Cricetulus griseus: one gene and its partner. The protein of the gene in region 1 purifies or fractionates together with the protein of each later gene. This does not show direct contact. Links are inferred from orthologs where the notes say so. Each region holds a gene or a part of one and is shown in the gene's direction. Other genes may lie near its edges.

Region 1 (4,516 bases):
TCAGGTATCCACCCTCAAGCAATACCTTCTAGAGGCCTGGTAGAAATAGGTGTAGAGTTTAAATCGGGTAGATGTACTTACTGTGTGGACACGAGAAAGCTGCTTAATTTCTCTGAGCCTATTTCCTCATTTGTGACAATGGGGACCAATATTACCTACCTCACAGGGTTGTTGTGAGGATTAAGAGATGAGACATGGAAGCACCTAGCCATACCTGGCAAATAGGTATTCAATAAATGTTGTGTTTCCCCTTTCCTTTTGCGCTTCCCCCCCAACCCCGCCCCCAGAAGTGATCATAAAGGAAAAGCAGCCTCTTTCTTTTTTAATGGTCACTTGGAAATGAGTGGGTGACTTTTCAGACTTGGAATTGATAAGCATTATGGTGAAGTGGATGGGGGTTAATCTTCTGATTAAATGGTTCTAATTAATTTTCACTGTACAGACCTTTCTGTTGGGGATTTGTAGTTTATGTTTAGTTTCTACTAGAGAAATAATTTTAAATTCCAGGGGAAAGTTTCAATGGCTGCAAAAAAGGTGACCTTTCCTAAAAGCGGCAGTGAAGGTATATTAGGATTACCTTCACAAGGTTGTAATTTATTTACAAATCTTCTGGCGATACTGGAGAGACTTACTAAACTTCCCATTTTCTGGAGCTATCATATAGGAACTCTCGTTCAAGAAGGATGCACTGGTTTGCTTCTGGGCATGGGACTAAGTCCCTAATGTAGAGCCCTTGGTTTATATTGGAAAAAAGGAAACATGGAAATGTTATGAATGAACGGCACCTATTTTCCATGTTCTATTATTTGCTAGAAGTCGAGTGATCCTTTGCCAAAATAGGAGTTCCAGGTAAATGTACAGCTCACAAGAAATTTCACAAGAAATTCACAGTAGTAGCAGAAGAACTAAGATATACTTTTAAGAGCAGGAGGACGCACGAGGCATAGACGGAAGCCAGGCTGGGCAGTTTGTTCCCATCTCAAAGATCAGACTGAGACAACTTTGGCTGAAGTGCCCAACACTCGGCTTCGGGCAGAGACCCAGACTCCATAATCACAGATCAAAAGGGTTTTTCTGGCCAGGGAGACTCTTTCCAGGTGAAATTTCCAGACGGCTGTGAGCTCTTCTTTAGGAATCCGGTCCTCACCACCAAACCTTCTGTGCGACCTCAAGAGGGCACCGCGAGCTGGAAGTCCCTCTTTTTCTACGCTTACCCAAGCCCGAGAGCCCAAGAATTAAGGTATTAAGTCTGGGAGGTGCGGAGCGACCGATCTCCATCCCTCCACGGGAGCAGCCAGACTCTCGGGGACTTCCGCCTTCCGTACCTCTTTCGCTTCCCACCGCCTCCGTGCTCTAAATGGTAACGGCCGCCGGGCGTCGCCGGAAGTGTCGTAAACAGCAGACATCCGGTTCTTCCGGGCGCTAGGGGAGCTGACGGAGAAGGCCACCGCCCAGCAGAAGACGCGGCTCAGCCGGTGTAGTCGTGGTTTCTGCGGTGTGTGAGTCCGGACCCGGTCCCCTCTCCCGCCGCCGTCATGGGCTGCACGTTGAGCGCCGAGGACAAGGCGGCGGTGGAGCGGAGCAAGATGATTGACCGCAACTTGCGGGAGGACGGGGAGAAAGCGGCCAAAGAAGTGAAGCTGCTGCTGCTCGGTGAGGGGCCGGGGGCGGAGCTGGAGTCCTGGATTCCCGAGAGTCCGGCCCGGGGAGCAGGCTGAGCCGTGAGGGGTCTGGCTGGGCCGGCGGAACGGACCCCGAAGGGACCCGGACGGGATGGATGCCCGGCGTGGGGCGAGTTCTGGGCTTGGGGATTGAGGCCCCGGAAGGCGTGGGGATTTCAGGTTGGAGAGGGTGTAACCGGACTGGGATGGTGCTTAGCAGAGTTTGGGAGTTTGGAGCTTTGAGGCTGGGCTGAGAATTCGGGAAAGGCTCCTTACTGGGAGGGACCGATATAAGGGAAGGTTTCACATTGGATTGGAACGTGTTGAGGAGAGTAGTGTATGGTGTCTGCTGGGCCTGTCCGGAGTTTGTGTGAGTTTGATACTTGATGGCAGCATAAAGCTGGAAGAATTGAATGACTAGAGAAGCTAGGACGGAAGAGTCACATGAAAAACAACAACAAAAAAACCCTGCTGTTTGTAAAAGAGCACACGTAGTTTTTGTGCTGTTAGTAACGTGGATTGTCCAGGAACATAAAGGGGGAGGCGGGTAAAATAAATGACAAGTTCTTAAGTATAAGAGAAAAGAACTTGGGTCAGAGCCCGGCTATACTTTTAAACAAGGGATAGGAATGGTGTCAGCTGAGAAAATTGAAAGAATGCCATCTTTGAGGTTTGTGATTGAGGATTAATGGGCAGTAGATTACAGTGGGGACGTTCTGGGAATGATGTGCGTTGAGAATAGAGTTAGAATAGGATACTATATGGGGTGGGGCATATTTACAGTAAAGACTGTGATAAATCCGGGGGGATATTTTTAATTGGGTTTATAAGTAAAAATATTGGCTTCCAGACTACAGCATGTCGCCTTCTACTCCACTTAAGTGGCTTTTATATATAGTCAGACATGTTTTAGTCAGGACAATTTAGTTTTAAACTTTGATAGACCCAGTAAATCACGTAAACATTCTCTGGCATTAGCTTACCAATAAATCCGGCCACATTCATTATTCATATTTTTGAGGAATCTGTTAGATGAGAATATGTAAGAGTCACAGGTTCTGTAAGCAGTGGAAATTTTTGATCAATTGAGTTCTGAGGAGTCACTGTAGAGTACCAATTTCACTTTGTGAAGCTCCAGAGGACAGACACAACCACCATAATCTCAGACTTACTTTGTGCTTTAAGATGTGCTGGGTGCTTATTTATATATGGTGGAAGCTCTGAGTGACAGCTTGGATATAAAGAAAAGGTTGTGCAATGGAGTTTTGAGTTTCCAGAAGATAGGAAGTCAAATCATAGTTCTAGACTGCCAGTGTCTATGTAATAGATATCTTACGTGGATGAACATGGTTTCTGGTACTTGGCAGGTACTTAAGTATTTACTATTGACCAACCAGTTTGATCAAGCTATGGTGGACATTAGTTCACGGGCACTTTTCAGAAGGCTGATAAAAACGTGCTCGTTTTCTCCATCGTCCTGTATCAGCTTCACCAGTGCTGGGATCATCATACCGTTGACATTAGCATTTTCTCTTTTTTAAAAATGATTTTTTTTTGGTATTTCATATGCATTGGTGTTTTGCCTGCATGTATATATGAGGGTGTCATCCCCTGGAACTGGGTTATAGACAGTTGTCAGCTGCCATGTGGTTGCTGGGAATTGAATACGGGTCCTTTGGAAGAGCAGTCAGTGCTCTTAACCACTGAGCCATCTCTCTAGTCCCTGACATTAGCATTTTCTATATTGACCAGTCACTTATGAAATTAAATATGTATTCTTATTCACTGTGATTTGATTTATATTGACCATTGAAAAACTTTGGCAGGCAGAACCAGCCAAGTATGTGTAAAGAAAATCTTTATTCAGGGCCTTTAATTTAAAAAATTAAACACATCATAGCTTAGAGAATTTGAAAAGTTTTAAAGTCAAAGTACTGAACATTTGTCTTTCATTTTTACTAGCTTTTTTTTTTTTTAAGCATTTTGTTTTGTTTTGAGACAGAATCTTGGTCTCAAAATTCATGAGATCCTATAGCTGAGATTACAGGTATGTACCACAAACATGGATTTTTTTTTTCTCTCAGAATTTTTTTTAACAGTATTTTGAGCAAATTAAACCAGTAAGTTGAAGTAGGTTGCAGAAGCAGCTGCTCTTAACCTGAGTTGTATCATAATGCATATGTGAAATTAAAATGATCTTTAATGGGGCTGGAGAGATGGCTTAACAGTTAAGATCACTTGCTATTTTTACAGAGGATCTGGATGAGGGTCTCAGTACCCACATGGCAGCTAACAACTACCTGTAGGCATGTACATGGTACATATACATATGTGGAGATTAATCACTCAGATGTAAAATGAATAAATCTAACACTTTAAAAAAAGATCTTTCATGATATTTCTTTAAGTAAAATGCACCTTTATGGTAAATAAAAAAACACCCTATATGGTATTCCAGTTACCCCTTCCCCTCATTTTTTTGATTTCAGAAAGTTTCCTTTGGTACATGTAAGCCATTTTTACTTCAACACTAAGTGGCTATCCAATTTAATTTAAATTGAAATCTACTTTTCTTGCCTTTCCTGGTTCGTATATTTTCTTTTGTCTGTGGCTATAATTCTCATAGTGATTGAAGCATGGGCTTTGAAGTTAGAACGCTTCAAATTCTAATTCATGCTTATTTACTAGCTGTAATTTTCATTTGCCTCAGTTTCTTTACTTTTAAGATATAGAAAGTAGAGATCCTTCAGAATTGCTGGGAAGATTAAATATGATAACAATATAAAGCAAAACATATCTAGTTAATAGTAACTGTTTATTATTGTTAAAAGTCAATGTTACAGATTAAAAGTACT
Region 2 (4,275 bases), on another chromosome or scaffold:
GCCCTCACCGCGAGTCCAATCAGCCATCTCGCCCTCCAGAGCCCCACTCTGGGACACCGCAGCACAGCGACGGACGTGGCACCGGCTCCTGGAAGAGGCTTCCGGTTCCGCCTCAGGTATAATAACTTCCGGGAGAAGGGACTGGAGCGGAAGAAACAAAAATGAAGTTGTTCCATGGAATGTAAATAAGGGAAGGGCGGGCCGCCTGCGTTCGTGCCCGCGGATTGGCCAGCAATAGTAGTCCCGAGATGTGGGTGGTACCCGGAGCATGAGCTCGGGCACAAACCGGGAGCTGAGGCTGGAAACCGGCTCGGTAAAGCTGCCGGATGCCTCGGGCGCTGCGGAAGCCCGAGTGTGAGAACTACAAGATGCGGAGGACGGACAGAACTGAAGGAGACTGGCGAAGGAGACGCCAGGGCCTGACACCGAGCAGGCGCAGGGCACGCGCCGGTTAGCTCAGCGGGTGGCAGATCATCCGCTGGAGCATGGCTTGTGTGTCACCGCGAGGTACACTCTCACCGACCATGCCTCCAGCCACGCGGAGTGCGGACCCGGCTCCCCAGCCACCCACCCTCTACCCAGCGTTGGAACGCCTCTCACACTGACGGGCCGCGGCTGGCCGCCCCTCCATTGCCCCTCCCATGGGAGTGGCTTTCTCCGGGTGGTTTTCGCTTCCCTCTGACCCTTCCTCATACACTGGGACTTTCTTTTTCCTTTGATGGCCACATTGTTTTTGATGGTTCGGTCTTTCGTTTGTTTTAAGGACGGTCTCACTATGTATCCCTGTCTGGCCTAGAACTCACAGATCTGCCTGCTTCTGCTTCTCGGGTGCTGGGATAAAGGCGTGCGCCACCTCGCCGAGCTATCCGCTTTATTTTGACCACCCGAGTCGTTGTGTTTGTCTTTCCCGCGGAGCATGAGCTTCAGGGTCTGGACCGTGGGGCTCCAGCTGACTAAGCGACCAGAAGATAGTGCTCCCTTCATCTCTCTCCCTGTTCCCTGACCGGTGCGTAAGGAGGGCGGTCCATGCGGGGGCCGAGACCCCACCTCCACGCCCCACGCCTGCTAGAGAGGAGGGAGAAAAGGGGGGCGAGGGGATGCTACTTGGCTAGCTAGCGCCGCTGTTCCAAGACGAGCCGCTCGGCGATCGCGGCCAGGTGGGCTCCACCTTAAACCGGAGGCCCGCCCCACGCCTGTGCACACCCTTTCTGCTCGGCTGTGCTCCCGGCATCCCTCACGCGTGGACTCGGGGCTTCCGGACCTGGGCGGAGCCCGCGGGTTTGGCCGATTGCGTCTTCCCAGCCCAAGCCTTCCAGCACCCGGTGCCAGGGGCCATGGAGCCCCGGGCAGTTGCGGATGCTTTGGAGACGGGAGAGGAAGACACAGTGACAGAAGCTCTGCAGTCGTTCAACCGGGAGGTGAGAGGCACCCGGCTGCTGAGGAAATTTCTTGGAGAGAGGAAGCAGTGGTGTGCGCGCAGCGCGGCCGGGGTGTGCGTGCGAGTGTGGCAGGGAGCACGGCCTTGGGAGGCGGGCTGGGCCTCGGGGGTTTCAGTGGTGGGGCAGGTGTAGGGGAAGCGAGGGTGGTGGGCCCTGCCTTGCGTTCAGAGCAATGGCTGCTGCCTCAGAGGTAAAAGCAGACCGGCTGCCCTGACTCGAGGAGCACAGGTCCTACCTGCGCGTGGACTTGAGCCTACTGGGTCTCCTCCCTGCAGCACTCCCAGAGCTTCACCTTCGATGATGCCCAACAGGAGGACAGGAAGGTAGGTGCCATCCCAAGGGGCTCCTAGGGCAGGCATGGGCTGCCCCAAGAAGAGGGACTGGTGGATCCACTTTTGTCCCTCCCCACAGAGACTCGCAAAGCTGCTGGTCTCCTTACTGGAGCAGGGCTTGTCACCGTCACACCGTGTCACCTGGCTGCAGACTATCCGAATCCTAACCCGAGACCGCAGCTGCCTGGACTCATTTGCCAGCCGCCAGAGCCTCCATGCACTAGCCTGCTATGCTGACATCACCATCTCAGAGGAGCCCATCCCACAGCCCCCAGACATGGATGTCTTACTCGAGTCTCTCAAATGCCTGTGCAATCTCGTGCTCAGCAGCCCCGCAGCGCAGATGCTAGCAGCAGAGGCTCGCCTGGTGGTGAGGCTAGTGGAGCGTGTGGGACTGTACCGCAAAAGGAGCTATCCCCACGAAGTCCAGTTCTTTGACCTGAGGCTCCTTTTCCTGCTAACTGCCCTTCGCACTGATGTGCGCCAGCAACTGTTTCAGGAGCTGCACGGTGTGCGCCTGCTGACTGAGGCGCTGGAACTGACGCTGGGGGTGGGCCCCAAAGAAAAACCCCCGGTGGTACTTCCGGCCCAAGAGACAGAGCGGGCCATGGAGATCCTCAAAGTGCTCTTTAACATCACCTTTGACTCTGTCAAGAGGGAGGTGGATGAGGTAAGTTGTAGCCTGAAGTCATGGGTGGGACTCAGCTCAGCTGGGACAGTTTTGTGGTTTTGCTTCCTTCCTGCCTCAACTTCCTGGGTGCCAGACATGGCAAGGATAATGGGACATCAAGGCAGGGAATCCAAGGAAGGTTTCTGAGCTGTGTTGTGGGGGTGTGTTTGTGGGAAGGCTTTAGGTGGCCAAAGGTCACCAACTGTGCTGTGGACAAAGCCAAGTGATCAGCTCCATGTGGCCCTGGAGCACTGGAACAGGGGACTCCTCCTTACAGGAGCCATTTTCTGTCTTTGGTTAGGAAGATGCTGCCCTTTACCGGTACCTGGGGACCCTTCTGCGGCACTGTGTGATGGTTGCTGCTGCTGGAGACCGCACAGAGGAGTTCCACGGGTAAGGGGCAGGACTTACCGTGTGTTGACAGTGGGGAGAGTACTTAGGCATGGGTACCCTAGTCCTCAGCCCTAGGTGTCAGTAGAAGCACCAGGTCCCACCGTAAGAGTATGACTGTCAGAGGGATGGGAAACCAGAGTGTTCCCAGAGAGCCCCAGGAACTCAGAATATGACTAGGGGAAGAGCTAAGGTGGAAACAATGGTGGCCCTGGCATTGTAAGGCAATGGTGTTCCTGCTGGTGGTGACCAATAAGTACCTCACCTGACTTGGTATCTCAGCTCAGACAGAATGGGACAGGCAGAAGTTTGTCTCCCCACCAAACTTGAATGGAGTACTACCTGCCCTTGCCTCTAGTCCTCGGTGCTGTCCTCAGTCCCCCATATCATGTATACCCCAGGAGAGGAGCCGGGGATTACTTCTGTGCTAGAGTTACTCTGTCAAGGCCTCTGTCTGTCCCCAGCCACACGGTGAATCTCCTGGGAAACTTGCCCCTCAAATGTTTGGATGTCCTTCTCGCCCTGGAGCTACACGAAGGATCCTTAGAGTTTATGGGAGTCAATATGGAAGTGATCAGTGCCCTTCTTGCCTTCCTAGAGAAGCGTCTGCACCAGGTAGGTGGAGGACCTGCTATGTTGTGGCTTCCATTTCTGCACCAGGGAGAGAGGTCAGCTTGAAGGTATAACTTGGACAGTTTCTCTGGTTGCTCTGTGGCCCCACCAGAGATAGCTATTCAGTCAGACCCTCTCCGAAGCTTGTGGATACAGCTTGTGTGTGGACCTCAATGCTGCTGATTCCCAAAGAAAAGCAGGCTTCTCAGGGTCTGCCAAGGTGAATGTTGTCTTTTAGGTCTCTGCAGTTCCCTGTTAAGTGATTCTCAGAAGCCTTTGGTTCCTGCTTCCCTAATGTTCCCATACATTGGCAGCCATAGGTGACAGCATTAGTTGTCCTGCATCTTTTGTTTTTTGTTTTTTATTTTTTATTTTGGTTTTTCAAGACAGGTTTTCTCTGTGTAGCCCTGGCTGTCGTGGAACTCACTCTGCAGATCAGGCTGACCTCAAACTCAGAGATCAGCCTGTCTCTGCCTCCCAAGTACTAGGATTAAAGGAATGACCCCAACCCCCACCTCCACCCCCACCCCCGTTGTCCCTCTGCATCTTAAGGAGACATAACCAAGGGTTACCTGACACCTACAGTTATAATATGGGACCAGAGAGCTGGTGATCTAGCCTATCCTGTGGAGCTCACACAGATGAAAGCCATAGATAGAGGTTCATTAGATCTCCGAGGAGCCATAGGGTGCTCAGCACCTATGAGCTGGGTGAGGACAAAGAAGCTAGTGTTGAATATGCTAGCTGTGACTGCCTGCCCTTATTGCTATAACGGCTGGTATTGGACTCCAGGGAGATAATGGGAAGGCAGGGAAGGGATAGGTACACTGCT

The links.
Region 2: the proteins of Gnai3 (region 1) and Ric8a purify together in Homo sapiens (affinity purification with mass spectrometry; 3 studies listed by BioGRID and IntAct, counting the BioPlex papers as one, with this or other methods). This does not show direct contact. The link is inferred for Cricetulus griseus from reciprocal best matches to the Homo sapiens genes GNAI3 and RIC8A.

What each region holds. Positions count from the first base shown.
Region 1 is NW_023276806.1:48,991,039-48,995,554, forward strand, and holds the start of Gnai3 (guanine nucleotide-binding protein G(i) subunit alpha), read left to right. Parts: upstream 1-1,535; coding exon 1,536-1,653; intron 1,654-4,516. UniProt on the Homo sapiens protein: Heterotrimeric guanine nucleotide-binding proteins (G proteins) function as transducers downstream of G protein-coupled receptors (GPCRs) in numerous signaling cascades.
Region 2 is NC_048596.1:60,341,214-60,345,488, reverse strand, and holds the start of Ric8a (synembryn-A), read left to right. Parts: upstream 1-1,281; 5' UTR 1,282-1,334; coding exon 1,335-1,418; intron 1,419-1,714; coding exon 1,715-1,762; intron 1,763-1,850; coding exon 1,851-2,441; intron 2,442-2,742; coding exon 2,743-2,834; intron 2,835-3,295; coding exon 3,296-3,446; intron 3,447-4,275. Other genes in the region: Bet1l (BET1-like protein), read right to left, coding at 9-270.